2 linked regions of the Drosophila melanogaster genome follow. The protein of the gene in region 1 interacts with the protein of each later gene in a pairwise test. Each region holds a gene or a part of one and is shown on either strand. Other genes may lie near its edges.

The links.
Region 2: the proteins of CG4238 (region 1) and CG42369 interact in a two-hybrid assay, tested with the Drosophila melanogaster proteins (one large-scale study listed by BioGRID).

The regions. Positions count from the first base shown.
Region 1 is NT_033779.5:2,020,450-2,031,953, reverse strand, and holds CG4238 (uncharacterized protein), read right to left. Parts: upstream 7,943-11,504; 5' UTR 7,912-7,942; coding exon 7,689-7,911; intron 5,187-7,688; coding exon 4,744-5,186; intron 4,676-4,743; coding exon 4,163-4,675; intron 4,103-4,162; coding exon 3,904-4,102; intron 3,842-3,903; coding exon 3,705-3,841; intron 3,652-3,704; coding exon 2,926-3,651; intron 2,863-2,925; coding exon 2,536-2,862; intron 2,461-2,535; coding exon 2,198-2,460; intron 2,119-2,197; coding exon 2,016-2,118; 3' UTR 1,166-2,015; downstream 1-1,165.
Region 2 is NT_033779.5:6,393,621-6,401,076, forward strand, and holds CG42369 (uncharacterized protein), read right to left. Parts: upstream 3,630-7,456; 5' UTR 3,474-3,629; coding exon 2,268-3,473; 3' UTR 2,233-2,267; downstream 1-2,232. Other genes in the region: DIP-epsilon (Dpr-interacting protein epsilon), read right to left, coding at 1,217-1,323.

The sequences.
Region 1 (11,504 bases):
GTACTCTAGTTTAGTTATGAACTCAAAAGAGTAGCATTAAAAATGAGAGCAAATGTACCGAGTTCACACTGGTTAACAGTGCTACAAATTTGCAAGTATTAATAAATGTGATTTACGCGAACCTTATAAAAATAACATGAAAATTTAATATTGTTGTTAGGTATTTAGTTAATTGTAAAAAAAAAAAACGTTGCATCGGCCGGGAATCGAACCCGGGCCGCCCGCGTGGCAGGCGAGCATTCTACCACTGAACCACCGATGCTTATCCATTGCGTGTCAAATCGTATGTATGTGGTATGTTGGTGAACTGATCACTTTTCACACATGTTGGCTGTGTTTAAAAATAGATTCTATGTATATATTAGTATTGGCTCCAACGTATCACTTAACTTTAACTATTAATCCCTAAAGTTTAGAAGTGAGTAAAAAGCTGACAAAAACTAACCTCAAGCTTAACCCGCGGGTCGGAGACTTATTTTTCTAGACTTTCTTCTGATTCTTGAATCTCACTTTCATCTTTGCCTCCCGAGAGACATTACCCAACAACCCACGAAGATGCTGCATTTGACCCTGCCCGGAGAGATTTGGATTTTGACGCGTGTGCTCCTCTAGAAAGTGACAGTTCGAGTGGGCACTTCTAGGTACAATCCACTTTCTCCTTCTACCGCACTCAGGCCCTTTCGTGTTATCCATACTCTAATTAGTTGCTAATAATTGTTTAAATGCAAACGCACACTTGACTGGATGAGCACGCGTTTGATGGCTACAAAATGTTGATTGGTGGTACCCCGTAATTTGACACTCACGCTCCGCCAAACTCTCACTGCATATATCTGGTCATAAGAGACTTTGGACTGAAGTACAGTTCATAGAAGATAAGCTTCTCCAAGGGGACTTGCGTAACCCTCTTTGAGTTTATTGGCTTTCCTTAAAGTCGCGTTTGTTCAGGTGACCTCTGGAGACCTTGAAAAGAAAGTGGTTCGACTCTTATGACACCGGTTTCTATGGTATTTAATATCAACAGGTACAATTTACCATGAAGAAGTATACAACTTATATAAGTGCATAAGTGGAAGTGCATTTTATAATGCGTAATGAAAAAGTAAAAATAAAAAACATCTTACCATGTCTTTTATGTGAGCCGTACGCCAATAAAACACCAGCACTTCCGTTCTAAACAGTAGATTTTTATTACTTTTAACCATTTGAATCAACCCTCCGCCAACCGATTGATATATAAGCTTTTAGAGTTCCCTCAACAACTACAATTCCATTACATTTACTAAATTTTAATTAGTATGACTTCTTTGATTTTTGCTTTGCGAATCAACAACATTTAAAAACTACGTTTCAACATTTGCTTCCACATATTGCTTTTAGGAGAGCACAGCGAGGGAGAAGGATTTGGGATTGTATTCGAGTTGGACCAGAATTTGGCCTAATATATTTGGATTTTCGATAGAAGAAATGCATATAAACATTGCTCATTGTGAATGTTTTGACAATATAACGATTACAATTAGTTCTTAGTTCAGTATGCTACAAACTCTTGGTTTGCCACCAGCTTGGGTTTCTCGGGGGTCTCTTTACACAGCGCAACTAACAGTTAATTAGAGTAGTTTTCGGAATTATGGCTACTTATTTGAATTACCGATAGGTAGTTTAAAAGATTCCCATAACGCTTAGGTTGCATTAGTCTATTATACAAGTATCACATTCCTTTTGATGATGATATATATTCGGTTTTAATTTGCATCTTGACTCGACTATGACTACACACGCTACGCCGGCTAATCCGTGATTATTATTGCTTAAGGGATCATCAGCCGAGGGATAATAATATACCTAGCCAGGGACTGAATTTAATTGCAATTATCACTAGGCAGGCTTACGGACTAGTTCACTTAGTTGCTAGCATGACATATAAAGCGCACAGAAAGGAACACAGTAGCGTAGCAGACAAAAACCGATGGCTATAGCCACCCCCCTCCTCTACTCTCCATTATCCTATATATCTAGACCATGCCGAATCCCTCGCTGCCCTCGCTGATGGCCAAAAGCAGCGACTTCTCGAACTGCTCGTAGCTCTCGTAGTCGGGCAAACACAGCTGGTTGAAACTGCAATCGAAAAAGTTTCGTTTTTTAGAGAACGCCGAGATTAAAGGCAAATAATAGACGATGGATAAAGTTCACCCACCAGGTGTGCGCCGTGGGCAGGTTGCCAAAGGTCGGAGCCGCCGTTATCTGGAACTGCGGATTTAGCTCCTGGAATCCCCCGGGCGGCAGCTGGGAGCATCCCGTGGTGAACTGCAGCAGGCGGGCCATCTCCGTCTGGCTGAAGTTGCTCACTCCGGCCCAAAACCAGGCCAAAACCCGCCGAAACTCAGCCGAATTGCCGTTGGCGATGTGGTGCGCCTTAAAGTCGCTGATGGAGTATTCCCCAGTTCCGCACATCAGCAGCTGCACACGAGAAAATGTTTATTTAGCGCTGTGAAATTAAATTAGCTAATTATAAAAGTTTATAATAACACTCACCTCCAGTTCGTTTTCATCGAAAATGCTGAGAAGGTTATCCGGTATAATGGAATTTAGACCCTTCAGGAAGCTATCCACTTCATCCTTGACGTTGTTGCACAGACGCTGCTGAGCCAGGGCATCCAGGTACTGGTTCTTGGTGGCATTGGTCACCCGCGTCTTGGCCCCGTTGGGTATCAGTTCGATGGTCTTGCTCAGCTGTCCACTACTGGAGTCGTACATCTCCTCCACGAAGTACAGCTCCAGCGTGTCCGTGGCATCCAGATCGGTGTCCAGAATGTACTTGATCTTGGACAGGTACAAGTCGGGATCGTCCTGTTCGAAGTACTGGTAGGTAAGGAACGAATTTAGATAGGAACATGATTAATTATCTCGTTTTTGCCGACTAACCTTGTAATGCACCCTCAGACCAATAAGTTGAGCCAGAAAAGAGCGACTGAATCTGGCTCTGACCAGCTGACGATAGGTGCCGCCCAGGGCGCTCTCAAACAGACACTTTCCCACCATCTTGCCGGCGAATTCAAAGTGCTTCAGCTTCAGATGGGCTGGACGGGTGGGATTCGGATGGACCAGCGCCTGGTGCTTGTCGTGGAAGGTGCAGAAGAGACCTCCGCGGGCGTCGAAGAGTGCACTGCAGACCAGCTCAAACCACTCCCTCCGCAAACCTCCCCAGTCGATGCCCTGTTCACCCTGGAAGGTGACCTCGAAGTTGCCACACCAGTCGGACACCGAGAAGCCCTTGACGGCCTTCATGCTGCTCTCCAGGATCTTCTCGCGCTGCACTTTCAGGGCCATCTTCTCGTGATAGTAGCTGGCATGGAATTTGCGAACCTCGTGGTAAAAGAAGTCCTGCTTGTCCTTGAAGGTCTCCGATCCACCAATGTTCTTCAGCAGAAAATGGGTGAAGGTGGCAGCTATGATATTCCGATCCTTGGAGGCCAACTCAATCTTGGGTTGGGCTCCGTCGTCTATGATGAAAACAGGGCCGTGCAGCTGGGACACCAACTGCGGCAGGAAATGGAACTTGGTCGAGGGACACAGCCGGAATGTGGCAATCCTCTTGGGGATGAACTTGAGGATCATCTCCTTGATGGTCACCTGGAAGATCAGCGAGTTCTGAGCCCTCACATTTCACCCGATGTCAACGTGCTGCCCAGATAACCACTCACCTGTTTGGGTCCCACATAGCAGAGCACCTTCCTCGGCTTGTTCTTGGACACACCGAAAATACTCAGCAGTTTGGCCTCGTAGCAGATGTTGTGCTTCCGGGAGGCTATGTTCTTGTGCACCAAGGTGGTGTCGCTGCCTGGGAGGGGTTACAAATTTATTTACTCCCTGTAAAGAGCCTGTAAAGATCCCCACACTTACTGCTCAACACAATGATGTCGAAGTCGCCGTTGGGCAGCTGCTGATCCCGGTAGCTGATCACTGCCCGTAGACAAGTCGGTTCCGGAAACAGAGCAGTCACCGAGACTCGGGAGTTGACCTTGTCGTAGGCGAAGACAATCGCATGCTGCAGTTTCTCCACTGGAACTCCATGCAGGTCGTATATTGCCACTTGGTAGCCCTGCAAAGTTACCCAAAAAAGTTAGCTAAAAGCGTTCTAAGGAAAATGAACATCCTGTACCTGCAGCGCCTCATCCGATTGATTCTGGTCGAACAGACAGGAGTTGCCGAACTCATCCCGTGGCTCGATGTGCATCAAAGTGGGTGCACCTGCGCAGCAGATGACCGTGCTGGCGGGCCTGATGAACCTGGAGCGCCTGGCATCGATGGCTCCTGGCAGGAAGGATCGCAGAAAGGGCGATCCGGCGATGTGGCTGGCGCCAATCAGCACGGATATCTTGTACTGGCCCGCAGTGCGAACCGTGAACTTGACCTTGGCGATGTTGGCGTTGTTGGGATCGGTGGAGGAGCCCAGCTCGCTAATGGTGACCACCTTGCGAGTGCCCTCGGTGACCTCGACAAAGAAGTGGTCCGTATCACAGATGGGATATGGCTGGCCGTTGCGCTGGAAGAAGCGCACCACGAAGCACATGGTGCCGCCCACGCTGGCGGGATCCTTCCAGTCCCACTGCACCTTGCAATTGGCAGGCAGCAGATACTTTCCGGTGACATATTGCAGCAGGGAATGGCGGGCCTACGAGTAAAAATGATGTAGTGAACAATCCGTAACCCAATCGGTATTTAAAATCCTCTGGCGTTTACCTCTGGGGCCAATGAAGGCTGCGTCATGGCAGCCAGGGTGACGAGGCCGGCGACTGAGACGGATACGACCAGCATGCCGCCCCATGTCCATGCGTCCTGATGCTGGCTGCTCTTGACCACAGTCGACCAGAGCTGCGCCTTCAGGGCGTCCAATTGGGCCTTGGACGTGGGCAGGTTCTGCCGTGCTCCCGACCAAAGCTGCCAGTCCTTGCCGAGGATCTTGCTGGCCCGTGAGTCCTCCAGCCAGTAGACGTCCTCCAGCGAGGCGACCTCCACGGCCAGCAGCCGTTGGTAGTGATGCTGCAGCCGGTGATCCTTTAGCCACTCGCGCAGGATCAGCTTTTGCTGCAGATGCAATGCGGCCCGCTGAAGACGCTGCTCGTCCAGGGGGGGCAGCTCAGGCAGACGCTCCGGATCGCCGCAGCTCGACAAGGAGGAGATTCCTAAAGTGAGCGGAAAGTATGGAAAGTATGACGTATTACATAAGGCTTATAATTGCAATTTTTAACTGTATAGTTCGGCAATGAGGGGAATGGAGCGCCTTACAAATAGCGGGCCACCAACTTTTCTGGTAATTGAGTTTAATGGTTAAAGTTTCGGCAACTTTGCCGTCATGTCAACTGTTTGCCAATGTCGCCATCAACGTCGAGCCTCCATCCGTCGCTATAACTCTGGGCTCAACGACTTCCGATGGTGCCTAAAATTACAGGACAACTAATTTGGCCAGGCGACTACGTCAATGCCCATTTTATTCCATTCCACCCATTTTAGTGCGCCCTCAACAAACTTCCAATCAATTACGTTTCAATTTTTTATGACTTAACCCAATGCCAAACCGAAAATAGCCAGGGAAACGACACTTAATGCGTTGTTTGTCGCTTATCGCCGGCTGAAATCGAAAACAAGAGGTTCCCCACTGTCACGTCAGGACCTTTTCTCCACCCCCCAACCGATTCCTTGAAAGCTTAACCCTGTAGTTACGAGACTCCTGCTGCTCCCCCCAATCTCAATTCGGCGAAAAACTTTCATTTGGCATTATTGCAGTTCAGTTGTTGCTGTAGCTTTGACTTTTCACCATGTAAAAATGTAAGTCGGTGACAGAAACAAAGCGGAAAACTTCAAGGAGGTGAGAAAATCGAGAAAAACACAGTTGTTGCATTTAATATGCTAAGTAACTTCGAAGGGGAAAACTAAGTTCAAATGTCTTGAAGCAAAGAGAAATTATAGTTAAATTTTCACGAAAAGCACGAACCAATTTTCCAATGTCTTTATGCCTTCGGAAAAGAAGACTATTTTCCCAGAAGAAAATCATTCCAGTTTAAAAATCTATTATTAAAACTTAAAAAAAAACCCAAAAGATAATTTCGGTGGGACATAGACAAGACTTAATGCCGACTGCAATGGCAGTGCCAAAAATTGGTAATGTATTTATGGGGAATCTCTGCCGATGGTAAGCCCAAATTAACCCCAGGAAAGTCAGACCATCCGGCTAGTTAACCTCGGTGAAATGCACTTAAGCCCGGCTCCCACAGCGGACCACAAAATCCAGCTAAGCCAGGGACCGCAGGAGTGCGAAAAAAGTACAGACCACGAAGGACCGCAAAGCGAGTAACGTGCAAACGAAACCCAGGCCAATTGTGGCCGAAAGGGGGTGGTGGTGGTCCTGCCACCGCAGGACCCACTCACTCCCCCTCGGAAAAAGTACAAATAATAGAATATTCGAGGAGGGGGTATAGGTCGGTGGTAGGCAAAGTTTGCGTGCCTGACATTCGAAAACGAATTCATTTCGTTACCAATTTCTTTCGTATTTCCAAAGCCCCCATTGGCCAACACACGTCCAGAATTCCTAACTTGTTCATATTTCGCGCGAAACGAACAACTTCCGTTTGATTTGGCCAAGGCGATAGGAATATGTACGTATTTCGATGGCAGAAAAATGCCCGAACGGCCCACAAAGTGCCCACAATGAAAAGTTACTTTCTGCGGAAAACGAGCTTGCCCTTTTTGGCGTCCTGCTACGAGAATTCCTGGTTATTTGTATAATTAAAGTATTTCCACTGCATATTTAATGGCGCTGCAGCAAACGACCTTTGGCCCGATGGCTGAACAGGAATTACTAATCGTTTTTAATTAAGGACCAGCGACAGGGTGACGGCGGAAAAGCTGGGAAAGTCACCAAAGTGGCGAGCTGACAAACAAAGCCGAGGGGAGAGGCGGCTAAATGAAAATGCCTTCCGAAGGTTAAAGCGCGACGTGCCAGGATGGTGATGATGATGATGTTGATACAGATGATGGGCATGATGATGAGGATAAATGTCAAGTGAAAGCTGCGAGGGGCAAACGGCGGCGGCGGAGCAGCAATGACTGATGAGGCCGACTTTTGACAGTCGCAGCTGAAATGATGTGGGATGGCAGGTGGATAACGCCCCAAGTGAACACGAACACCCACACAGAAAGGACAAAATAGAGACAGAGATAATTCCCTTATCAAAAGTTACTTAACGACATCAAAATAAAAGTAATTAAAAGAACTTAGAGCTGGATCTAATTCCATAACGCCGAGCAAATCGATTTAGATTTCGCCTCGAGTTAAGCATCTAATAGAATATTCACACTTGGGCACTGGAAATTCGGTCGATTGTTTTCATTATATTTTTGGTTAGAATTATTGAATTATAAATAAGTCTATTTCTTTGCCGAATCAATTACTTATGCCAAACGAGCAACGAGGCGTATGCTTGATGTTTTCATGTCGTCCTGCCTGCTGATAGCCATCTATAATTAATTAAGTTTATGGGGTGGAATAATTTCATTTGAAGCATGTGCACAAAGTGAGAGCAATACACACATTTGTATTTACACATATATACAAAACATCATTGAACAATTTCAAAATTAAATAGTGAGGTTTAGTAGAGACAGAATGCCTCGATGGCAATTCTTACCCATTGATTCACCGAAGCACAATTTTACTTTGAGCGTGGGAAAAGTCTTGCCACCCGTGGCCGCATGCATGACGCCACCTACGTTGATGTGGCTAACTAGCATGGATATATCAAAGCGAGTGGCATGATCTGGAGGACGTCCCTTATAGACGACAAAGCTGCGGATGAGGACCAAATCGGACCTGAGCGAGGCATCTTCGGGTGAGCAATGCATCTGACCCATTGTTGTTACTTGTGTTGCTGGTGTTAAATTTGACAAATAACTCATAGATAGACCTGCTGACTATCGAATTTGCACGTAAGAGTGGCGATTCGCCCGCCTCCAAACTCTTTTGTTCGCTCATTAGCCCAAGGATGGCAGGTTGGCCCAGGCGAAGCGCCGCCAAAGTGCTGGGCAAATGTTTGCAAAACGAGCCAACTTGGCCTATTAGCCAAGGGCTGCTTAAGGCCAGAAAATTTAATGTCCCCAGCGAGGAGTACAGTGCTTAATGGATAGGGAGGAGGGTTCTTTTTCTTGGATTTGTTGCAAAAGAAAGCAGCTTATAAATTAGTAATGCCTTCTATTCCATTTAACGAGCACAGATTTTCAAAGTTGGTTTGGCAACTAGGAAATGAAATTGTAAGCTCATTTTTTTGTTACACGTTACGTGTCTTTATCATTCTTCACGAAATTGATTTTACAATTTTGAAACGCGCTGTTATTGCACAATGCCACCTTTTCCAGAGGGATGCACGGAATGATTTCGCTGTTTATTGTTTGCTTTTGACTGTCTGCCCTCGCTTTTCCTCCGCTTTCCTCGCCGAATGCTCCGCTTTTCCATCGTTTTCCCTCTTTTTGTGCTCCTGCTCCTTTGTTATCCCTCCATTGTTGTGCTCTTTGCTTTATCCTTTTTTATCGATTGTTCTCCGACGATGGAGGCTGCAGAAATTACAATTTGAATGACATTCGATCGCAGAGGGGCGCGGGGGCTGCAGGGAGGGCAGGGACGTTAAGCGGTTGGGGGGAGGGGGGGTAGCGGGCGATTAAGGTTGCCACAACAAAAGCCGCAATATTTTCCTTAACCCACTTGCTCCTTTTATGTTTGTTTACCAAAGTGAAAAATGATAAAATTGCCAGCTTCATCTTCCACCGAGGACATCCTGTGTGCTGTGTGTGTGTTCCCGACCCCCCCTTCGCCCCCAACGCTTTTCATCTCCTTTGTGGGTGCACTCAAAAAATATTTTCCTATTTCTTCTTAATATACAAAAAGGTAGAAAGTGCACATTTTTTTAAACCATCTAGTCTTACAATGAACTGAAATTCGCTTTATATTTATTTTCATTTTTAAATCAAATGTTTTTCCACGAGAAAATAATCGAAGAGGGAAGGGGGTAGGTACTGTAGAACATTTTTCATTTAGCTCCCCATTTTGTTGTTCTGTTTAAGCTGCACAACCGAGTGGAGCTTAAAGTTTCGAGGGGAGATATTCAGGCGGCAATCGTGAAGCTGGGCGAGCGGAGAATGTGCGCTGGCTGCACTCGACAGCTGCAACAAATTCATCCACAAATATTTCATCTGCTTACAATAATTTATGTTGCCTGTCTGCAGCAGACAGCCAGCAAGAAAACAAGCAGTCGCAGCAAAGGATGTGGGTGCCAGGGATATTTGCATGTTTAATTTAAAATAAAGCGCACTGCTGCTGCTTTGCAGCAGAAACTCATGCTCGAGTGTAGGAAGGAGGCGCATGCGAATGCAGCGCTCACACTGCTGGGCGTGCCACACTTGCCTCAAGTGGCGGCATAAATTCAAATGCCACTTTGGCAACAGACTCGGCAAATTACGTATACGCAGTGTAGGCACACAAACGGCAACAGTCACCTCTCTCTCACTCGCTCTGATTTTCTCCGTATTGGCTCCCAAGTGTCCTCACAGCAAGCTGTGCTCACCTCTCCCCATTTAGGGTCCCCTTCCTCGCAGGATTCCCCCTCCCTTTCCGTCTACTCTCAATATAAATCTCGCAATTTGGGCGAAATATGTAGCCAAAATACGACAGAAATGCTGTTGGATGTGGTAATACGACGTGGATGTGTTACACTTTCCACTGCTAAACTTCAATTTGTCTAATTACGGCAGACTTTAAACAGGAAATTAGAGTAAATAACAAACTAAATATCTTATGAAAACTTAAATTAGAGAATTAAACTATGGAAAGACACTTATTAGTCCACTGCCTAGTAAGAAGCATAAAGGCCTTAGGCAAATTCAAATCTCGCCTCCCTCCAGACAAACTATAGTCTTCCCAAACAGAGAGAACAATTTCATTTATTTGGAAAAACATTTAGACACAAACACACGGATGTACAGAGGCTCGTCCTCCGGGGAGCGACAGCAATGGAGACAGGACAAAAGGACGGGGCCAGAAAAAGTGACATGGACACAGACAGCGGAAGTGCAGGAAAAGAAGCCATCATCACATAGTTCCCTTGCCCTTTGCCTGCTGCAGTTTACCTAAGCCTGGACAGACAAAATGAGCGTTGCAATGAAATTTTTAAACACTCACACCAGACGCCAGGCATTCGGAAAAAAGGCCCAGTTTGAAGGGGAAGGTGTTGCCTTGGCAATTGCCTGCAAATGATGCCACAGCCGAGAATCTCGGACAAGATGACTGCCTCGTTGGCAGGCGATAAGGAAAAACCAGGCAGGAAAAGGCAAGGAAGGCACGAAAGGAACACGAAAAAGAGAATACAGAGCAAATATTTTACTTTTTGAAAATTCCAAGAGTTATTAGACATGCATAAGTAGATTACTTTGTAACTTCTAAGCTTGTATAACTATCAACATGATTTTAGCCAGGTAGAAAATAACACTTTTATCTAAGTTCTTTTCGAGTGCATTTCAAAAGGCGAAAAGGCTCTGACTTGGAGCTCTTTAGGCCATCGACAAGCCACAGCTGTTGCACCTGTCTACATAGCTCACCTTTGTCTCATCTCCTCTCACCCGGCCGCCTGTAGTCGCCGCACTTCCCTTTCCCCTGACCGCCTCACATTTTTGTGGCTAGAATGCAAACTTGTATCCTTTGCATTCGGGCAGCCCGCACAAGCCGCACGCCACAACTTTGAAGGCAAACAGATGTTCGCCGCTCACTCGCACACGGGGGCATGCCACCCGCCCCTAACCATACCCCCCTTTGCACCAAGAAGGTGTGACATTAAATGTCGCTTAATTTGAGTGCCCCTTGGCGACAGCAGCTGCTGCCGATGGGACTCCGTGTGGCAGGGATTCTAGATGCTGGATGCTGGCGCACATTTGGCACTGCGGCTGCTTTGGCTGCATTAGAAAACCGCAGGAGGAAAGGGGCAAATCATCAGCCAGGGGCATTATTCACACTCAGGAATGTCATGAAGGGGGGTGGGGGGAGGGGCTGAATAAATTCTCGAAATAAATTGTACGGACATGAGATGCAGCTGCAATTTGCATTCCATCGATTTATAATTGAGTGGGAGTATTGCAGTTGAGCGCGGGGATGTGAAATGCAATTCAGTGCTGGCACAGAAATGCCATTAGAATTGGTTTATGAAAACACATTAAATTGCTTTATGTCGACAATAATTGCTTGGCGATAAATTTTCAATAACAGAGTAGCCAGGCTAAAAATGGTAGGCACATGTTAGTTGACCAATGCTTCATTTATTTATGCAATTATAGAATATTGCATGGCATTTGTTTGCCCCGATTAATGTGTCTTATTTAATAAAATAATATATTGTAGTTGAGTGGCAATCTCCAAGCAGCGATGTTCATTTTGCATACTTATCTGGCCCAATTTCACTGCAACA
Region 2 (7,456 bases), 4.4 Mb from region 1:
AAAAAGCGCTTATGAACTACGCGAGTTAATTTCCACGCAGCTCAAATATTTGGAAGCACAAGAAGTACTGAAAGTTTTGAAACACAAAGCATAACGAATTGCGTATGCCCTATGTGATATGCTTGCCAAATATTAATTAAAATATATGAAATATTTCAGTGTATTTATATAAAGTTTAATTACAAGACAGCATATTTTCATAGTGCACAGTTAGTAGCCCAAAAAAATTATAAATATTTATAACTATAACTTGATATAAGTATTTCCTTTGCTGTAAATCTGAATTATTTCCAAAACCACTTGTACCCCAGCTATTTTTTCAGTACATCGATTTACAACTTTCATTGGAACATTAAACTGCTTGTTTGCTTTTAATACATGTTCTTTTGTCGAGTGGCCAGTTTGTTGGAAAAGTGGTTATACCCGCCGAGGGCTTTAAAATCAATTCCCGGCAACCTGTCTGTTTGTGCTAAAGCCAATGTGCGGCTGCGATGGGCGAAATGGGTGGCCCAGCCACCCACTCGCTAGGCAACTATTTTGCATGCAAAGTCACGTTTTATTGCAGCTACAAGCGGTCCTCGCTGGTTAACTTTTGAGCTTACCTGAGGCCAATGAGGATAGCACCTGGAGATGAATGGCTGGGCGGAGGCGGGCGTAGTTTGGGCGGTAATGGTTGGTTATGGGTGGTTATAGGTGGCTATGGGTGGCTAAGGGTGGCTATGGATGATGATGGTCGCGGGTCGCACATGCCGAACTTAAGAGACATAAAAATTATTACAAGCCGAGTGTCGAGGCGAAAGTCGAGAATGAAATTTATGCACGTTTTGGTCGCACGCACATTATGGAAATTCAATTGGATGCAAATTTAAATTGTCGCCTGAGCCACAAGACAGAGCGTTTCGATGCGATGCGATGCGATGGATTCTTCTAGGCACGCCGAGCGCCGCCCAAAAGTGTGCACCGCACAATGAATATTGATCAGTTGGTTGGAGTAGTGTCCAGTTGGCATTAACCCCACACCCGCATCAACCACTTCAATCGATTGACGGTGGAGCATTTATTTAAGCGCAAACCAAAAGTCGTTCCGAAAGTTGACTTCATTCCTGCTCGGCCAGAAACTTCAGCTTTTGGATTTTGGTTTGCAAAGCCAAATACTACGTTTTTTACTTAAGTTTATATAAATTATAAATCTCGAAAATTCTTTGTTTAGTCTTACCTTATAGGATCCCAGGTTCTTGACTGAACAAGCCAGTTTTACATTACGCCCCGCAGGCACTGTAATATTTTCGATCACATCCGTGAACTCGGGATCTTCGCTGATGACTGCGAATAGTAAAAAAAAATAAATATTTTAATAAGTAATAATAAATATCAACATAAAAATGTATATATTCATAAAAACCCCAACTTCTCATCCTTTCTTGAGAAGAGTTATCATTATTGTAGTGAGAATTTAAAGAATTCTTTTTTCACACATGCAAAAGTCTGCCTTTTGTAACAACATATATCAGATAATTTTTTGCCTTTTACAGAAGCAAATTGAACTTGACACTGTGTTCTAAATAATAAAAGAATATCAACTTTCGCACTTGATTTTGTCATATAAAAGCTATCGTATGACCACAGAACAGCTGCATAACATAGCAACCACCATGTCTGCTATTCGGGATGGCTATACCACCATGTCGTCCTTTTTTTGACGGCTAACTGTGCCACGGAAACTTCTGCTGCACCGGCAACTCATTTAAGTTCTAATCACCTGCAACGACGACAATTAATTAGCTGGCTTTGGCCAACGACAGCGGCAGCAGCAGTCATTAGTCTGAAGGCCCATCGGTACCACAAGGGAGCCATGATGCTGCAGCTTCAGCTGGAGCTGAAGCAGGAGCAAGAGTTGAATCCTTAGAGCCCTGGCAGCATCTGATAAACAACGAGCAGTGGCAACACCAGGAGAAGCAACACTAACGGCAACATCTGCATAATGCGGCAAAAGGAAGTTGCTGTCCGCTCACCCCGAAGATGTGGAAAGGTGTTCCTGGACGATACTTAAGCGAAATCAGATGCGGCAGACGGATATTAAAAGCAGGCGACAACCGCAGGAACTGGCAAAATGTAATTATGTTGTGAAACTTGTCCTTTCAAACGCTGTCAATTGCAGCACAGGCGATGTCTTCAATATAAGATATTAGTATGTGGAACTATATAGCCAAAAGCACGCAACTCTCATCATTTAAGTAGCAAAGTTTGGTTTTATTATAAATGTCATCTCATCTTAGCTCATTGCACTTGGCCCGGATCATGTTGAAGGTAACCGTGCCGACGCTTTGTGCCGCGTTGTGGAGCAGCTCAAAGATGTGCCGGTTGCGCTGACCCTGCTCCACGGTCCGCTCGTGCAAGCGACGCAGTGCGTCCGAGTAGGCCGTGTACTTGGCCTCGCACTCCGTGTCCAGCTTGAAGACCTGATACAGCTGCTGCAGATCGTACAATTGGCGTGCGGTCTCGTCGTATAGCAAACTGGGTGACTGTGGCAACAGCTGCTCCCAGTGCTCGTGCACCAGGTCTAGGAATTCAAAATTGCTAAAAAGAAAGATGACGAACAGGTCCAGTCCCTTGGTCTTCAGCTGGGCGAGAAGATGTTCGGTGATGTGCTCGCTGCTCGATGTGTCCCGCATCTCCTCGTAATCGGTGCGCAAGTGGTGCTCCAGGTACGCATACACCCGTTGACGTTTCTCGAAGAAGTCCTCCGTGGCAAGCATGACGTCCAGCTGCTGCTGCATCTTGTCCAGCTTGGCACTGCTCCCGGCCAGATCAGCATGGTCACCGTCGATGATGTCCTGCAGCAGGGAACGCAGTATGTGCAGGTAGTTGTCGATGATTTCGGCGCCGGATAACTTGACCCGCTCGTACAGCTGCGCCCCGAACTCATTGAGATCCAAGCCGGTGGAGTTCACCTCCTTTTTGGTCAGATTGAGTTGCCCCAATGCCGCCCCGACTGTCTGTTCGTTGATCAGGCGACTGCCGCGATGAGGAGCCGGTCGGTCAAGTTGCTGGCAGAGGCGGTGCATGCGCATCATTCGGATCTCTTGTGTGCTAGTCTCCTCGGCAGCCCTCAGCGTGGATCTGACTCGGTTCAGAAAGACCAGGTTGCGCAGCACAATGGTGTACTCCATATCCGTGTCCAGGTGCGGACGCACGTCGAGCAGCTGCTTGATGAGCGTCACCTTCAATTGAAGCTTTGGTGTTGCGCGAGCTGCACTCATCTCTTCGGTGTAGTTGGCATTCCGAGGAATGCGTCCTAGACGATCCAGGTAGTCGTTGAGACTCGGTTCAATCCGCTGTTGCACCAGGTCGCTTAACTCGCGCAGAAGCTCCAGCTGGAAGTCCTTCACACCAAGATCCAGCTGGGGAGCAACAGGATCCGCCTGCATGAGCGGCAAGAGGCACACCCATGGCAGCCACCACTCGATCATCATCTTAGAGGGAGCTGGCTCCAACTGATTTTGATTGCAGAAACTGCGTTGTTGTCGCCGCCAGTTGGCTGATTAGACGAAGGGGCTTAGATTGGGGTCAGTAGTCAAGTCGGTGATGCGGTTAGTTCGTCTGATATGCCAAGCCGACCACTGACGATTAACCAGTGCGAAAGCGAACTGCGCTCAGTTCGACAGCCTTATCGCTACGGAGCTGGCACTGAGAGAAATAATGGGTAATCCAATTCGTGCAAATTATATTATATTTTATTTTCTGCTAATAATCGAACGCAAATTAAGGACAGCGAAAATAAGAAAGGAAAGAGTTCAGCGCTGATTACAATTCCTCTGTCAGAAACCAGCACAATTTAATACATAACTTTTTATTTGAAGGTAATGCATTTTTATCCTTTCCCCATTTCGACAACTATTGTTCGTCGAAAGGGCATTAGTGGCAACAACTGACTGGTGAATCGGGATAGGATTGAATGAGGGAATCGATTCGCTGTAACCTGGTGCCCGTGCAACTGCAAATGGCCAGGACATTGGTCCCTACAATGTATCAAATAGTCAGCGCTCCTTCCCAATTTGTCTGTGCGGGCAATTGTTGACCGAACTCAAACTGAGCGCGTGTGCGGGATACCTATCACAAGTTAGCTTAAAGTTGCAGACTGCAGACTGCTGCCATTTGACGACAGAACTTCAGCGGAATCCCAAATGGGATGTGGCATGAATCCACATGGATTCCAAATCAGCGATGCTCGTCGTTCTTCATTCTATGGCGCAGCTTGATTGAAGTTCGTCAAATTGATTGAACTCATGCCACTTCCCCTTTGCCAACTTTTAGCGAAAACACTTGATTTCGATTTCGTTCGAACATTTCTGTGCATTAGCCTTTAATATTCGATCAAAGGGTATCTGCAACCGCATAATGGCCAACACCTTTTAAGACGAAACCCAAAACGCAAAAAAAAACTATGGAAACGGTTTGGCAAAGAGCGTAAAAATGGGGAAAAATGGTTAAGAAAAAATGAAAGGCACACCGATAAAGTTTTTAGGAAAAAAAAAAATGTAAGAAAAAATAAAAGATACCAAAAACCTGAAGAAGAAATTTTCCAACAATTGCACAATTGGCATGGGCTACGCATTCGCTTCAATGGCGAACGACCAAGACACTTTGATTCAAACTGTGGCCAAGGACAAAGGATTTCTGGAGGACGAAAGCCAAGGAGTCATGGCTGGAGGAACGGCTGCCCTCCACATTGCTGGCACTTAAGTGACAAAATCTATTCGCAAGAAAGTCATCTGGTTAGGGTATCTACTAGCCCATAGAGCTTTGCTCCGGTCACTCATGGTCGGTCATTTTATTCTTATACTTCGCCAGTGATGCCTTTGAGAAAAACTTTGCCACTTTTTCCATCATCGCCGACAGTTTTCCTTTTTTTTTTTTTTGTCTTTCTGTTTTTTCGGTAACAAAGCCGAAACTAAACTTTCCAGCGCTTTGCCAGACGGGTGGAAATTCTCGCTGGCCAGGGGCGTGAAAAGCGCTAAAAGCGTTTTAATGATTTTAAAGGAGTTAAACTTTTGTTTTTTTCAAAACACTTCTTATGCGCTTTCTTCATTGTCCGAAAAAATTGCTCTTCTTTTTGAACAATTGTTTTGGTTATACTGTGCTTTGATTTTATCGCTCATCCCGCGCGTTGACCGAGCATCATTCTAAGTTACATTCTAAGTTGTGCTCTTTTATATGAATAAATACCCTGTACTCCTAGAGGCATTGGGTATGCACACATCTATATCCAATAAAGATGTTGGACAGTCATCTGTATAAGAGAATTTTAAGTTCTTTCAGCTACATTACTTGGGATCAGAATTCCCAAAGTAAATACAAATGCGAAAAGTACTTAATGCAAGATTTCATGATTTCCATTTAAATCGAAGATATTGTCATAAAATTATCTCAGTGTATTTATCTGTCCTTCTATTTTGCTTCATTGTTTACTCAACTTGACAGATTAAGTAAATGCTTGAGGGGCCAATATAGAGCATCGCACATACATATATTTATCAACTGTGCATTTTCTATCTCAAAAGTGCGAACTTTAAGCTTTATGGAAAAAATAAGTTTGTCTGTAGCATTAAACCGAAGGAGGCACTCCATCAAACCCATGGAGGTTAATAGTGTTAATACATTTAGAGACATGTCGACCAGGTAAAAGGAGCAAGTATCTTAGTATCTGACATGGCTGCTGCATCTCGGTTAGAGGCTGCATTGTTCCGCATCTGAGGTCTCCTCTAGTCTGCCGTACGTTTGCAGTCCAAGCAGTGTAGAGTCCGAGAAAAGCGGGGAAAAGCTTATAAGGACAAGGAGTCTTGGGGCACGGGGTAAGTTCAATCAAGCAAATGTAATTCTGCCCCGACTGCCAATTGCAGGCAAGAGCACAAACAACAAAGATTGAATGGAGCACTGACAGTTTGACTGGGTGAATGAGTGACATAGGTATGTGTGTTCTTAAAGCCGCTTCTGTTGTTTTTGTCGTCACACATGATGTTTAGGCATGTTGGTTCGTATGCAGCCAAGAAAGAGGTGAATTTCAAAAGTGGACTATATAAACAGGGTGTAAGTAACTGCCAAGCCAAGCAAGCAAAAGTTGCACAGCAATACACACAACACGCTAGTCCCAATATTTGTCTATGTATGTACAACCCTTAACTATGATCAATGTCGCATGCTTACATCGTATTGGCAATAAAAGGGTATGCTGCATTCGTTGAATAATAGAGTGGAGTAGAAGGTAAGAGCAAGCCTACACTCGTATTTGTGCATACACACACACTATTGGTAAGCAAAGTCAGGAGCTACTCATGCAGAAATGCGCATAACTGCCTTGCAGACAGAGATTCACCTTCACACAAATGCAAAAGTTTAAGTAGCCCCAAGCCATTCTGGGGCGCCGTAGAATGAGCCCCTGCCATCGGACTCCATCAGGCACTAAGTACTGCTCTATTAACCAAGAACCAACAACAACAAAAACAAGAGCAGACGGTGTGGTCCCGACTGCCATTCGACAGCAAGGACTCTGGAAACAGGACGAATGCAAACAGGCCAGCCTCGCAGGACCTTCTCTTAATTATGCACTTTGTGCCGCACACCATACCCACACTGAATTGATTGGTCTGTGTGTACTCGATAATAATTATAGGGCCTAAGTAGCATTAGAACGGCTAATGGGCAATGTCCTTGCTGTTTGCTTAGTCCTGCACATATGCTAAACATTTTTGGATGACCAAATCATCCAACTATAGAAGTAAATTAAGGTCGATTTATTAATGGCAATTCGCACCATTGGTTGGTTTTCGATTTTTACGACATTCATATGCATATTCTTGTTAATTGGGTGAGTGGTTAAATTTACAAGCACTGCTTTTCTGGTATGTAAACCAGAAAGGTTCCTGAGAATCTTTTGGTTCAACACTCACGCCTCTCTAATTGCCAATTTCCGCAAAAACACAAGTAATAATTTGAACTGAATGTTCCAATGAGTATGTTACAAAGTTTGGCAGAGCAAGCCGCGTGTTGCAAATTGGTTTTTGTTGCAGCGGGAAGAGCAAATGCAACACCTCTTAACGAGTCACTTTCCCAATCGCCACGTGCCACCTGAAAAACCCCCATTGCAAATGACTGCATGCAGAAGTTCAAAAGAAAGATTGTCTTAAATCACAAGCACCCTCAAGGATATTCAACATTTAATGACTGCCGCGTGGCAGAATTTCTTTATAAACCAGACGCATTGATGGGAATTGTCTGCCACCTTTTACTTGCTTTTTCTGATGTTTTATTTATAATTAATGGACAGGGCTCTCCAATTTGGCATTCCAAACAATTTTGTCGATAAACAGAAGACTTATACAACTTCATAGGAAAAAGAATCTAGACAGAACACCAATCAACTTAAAACAAATGCACTTTGCTTTTAATATTCGTACCG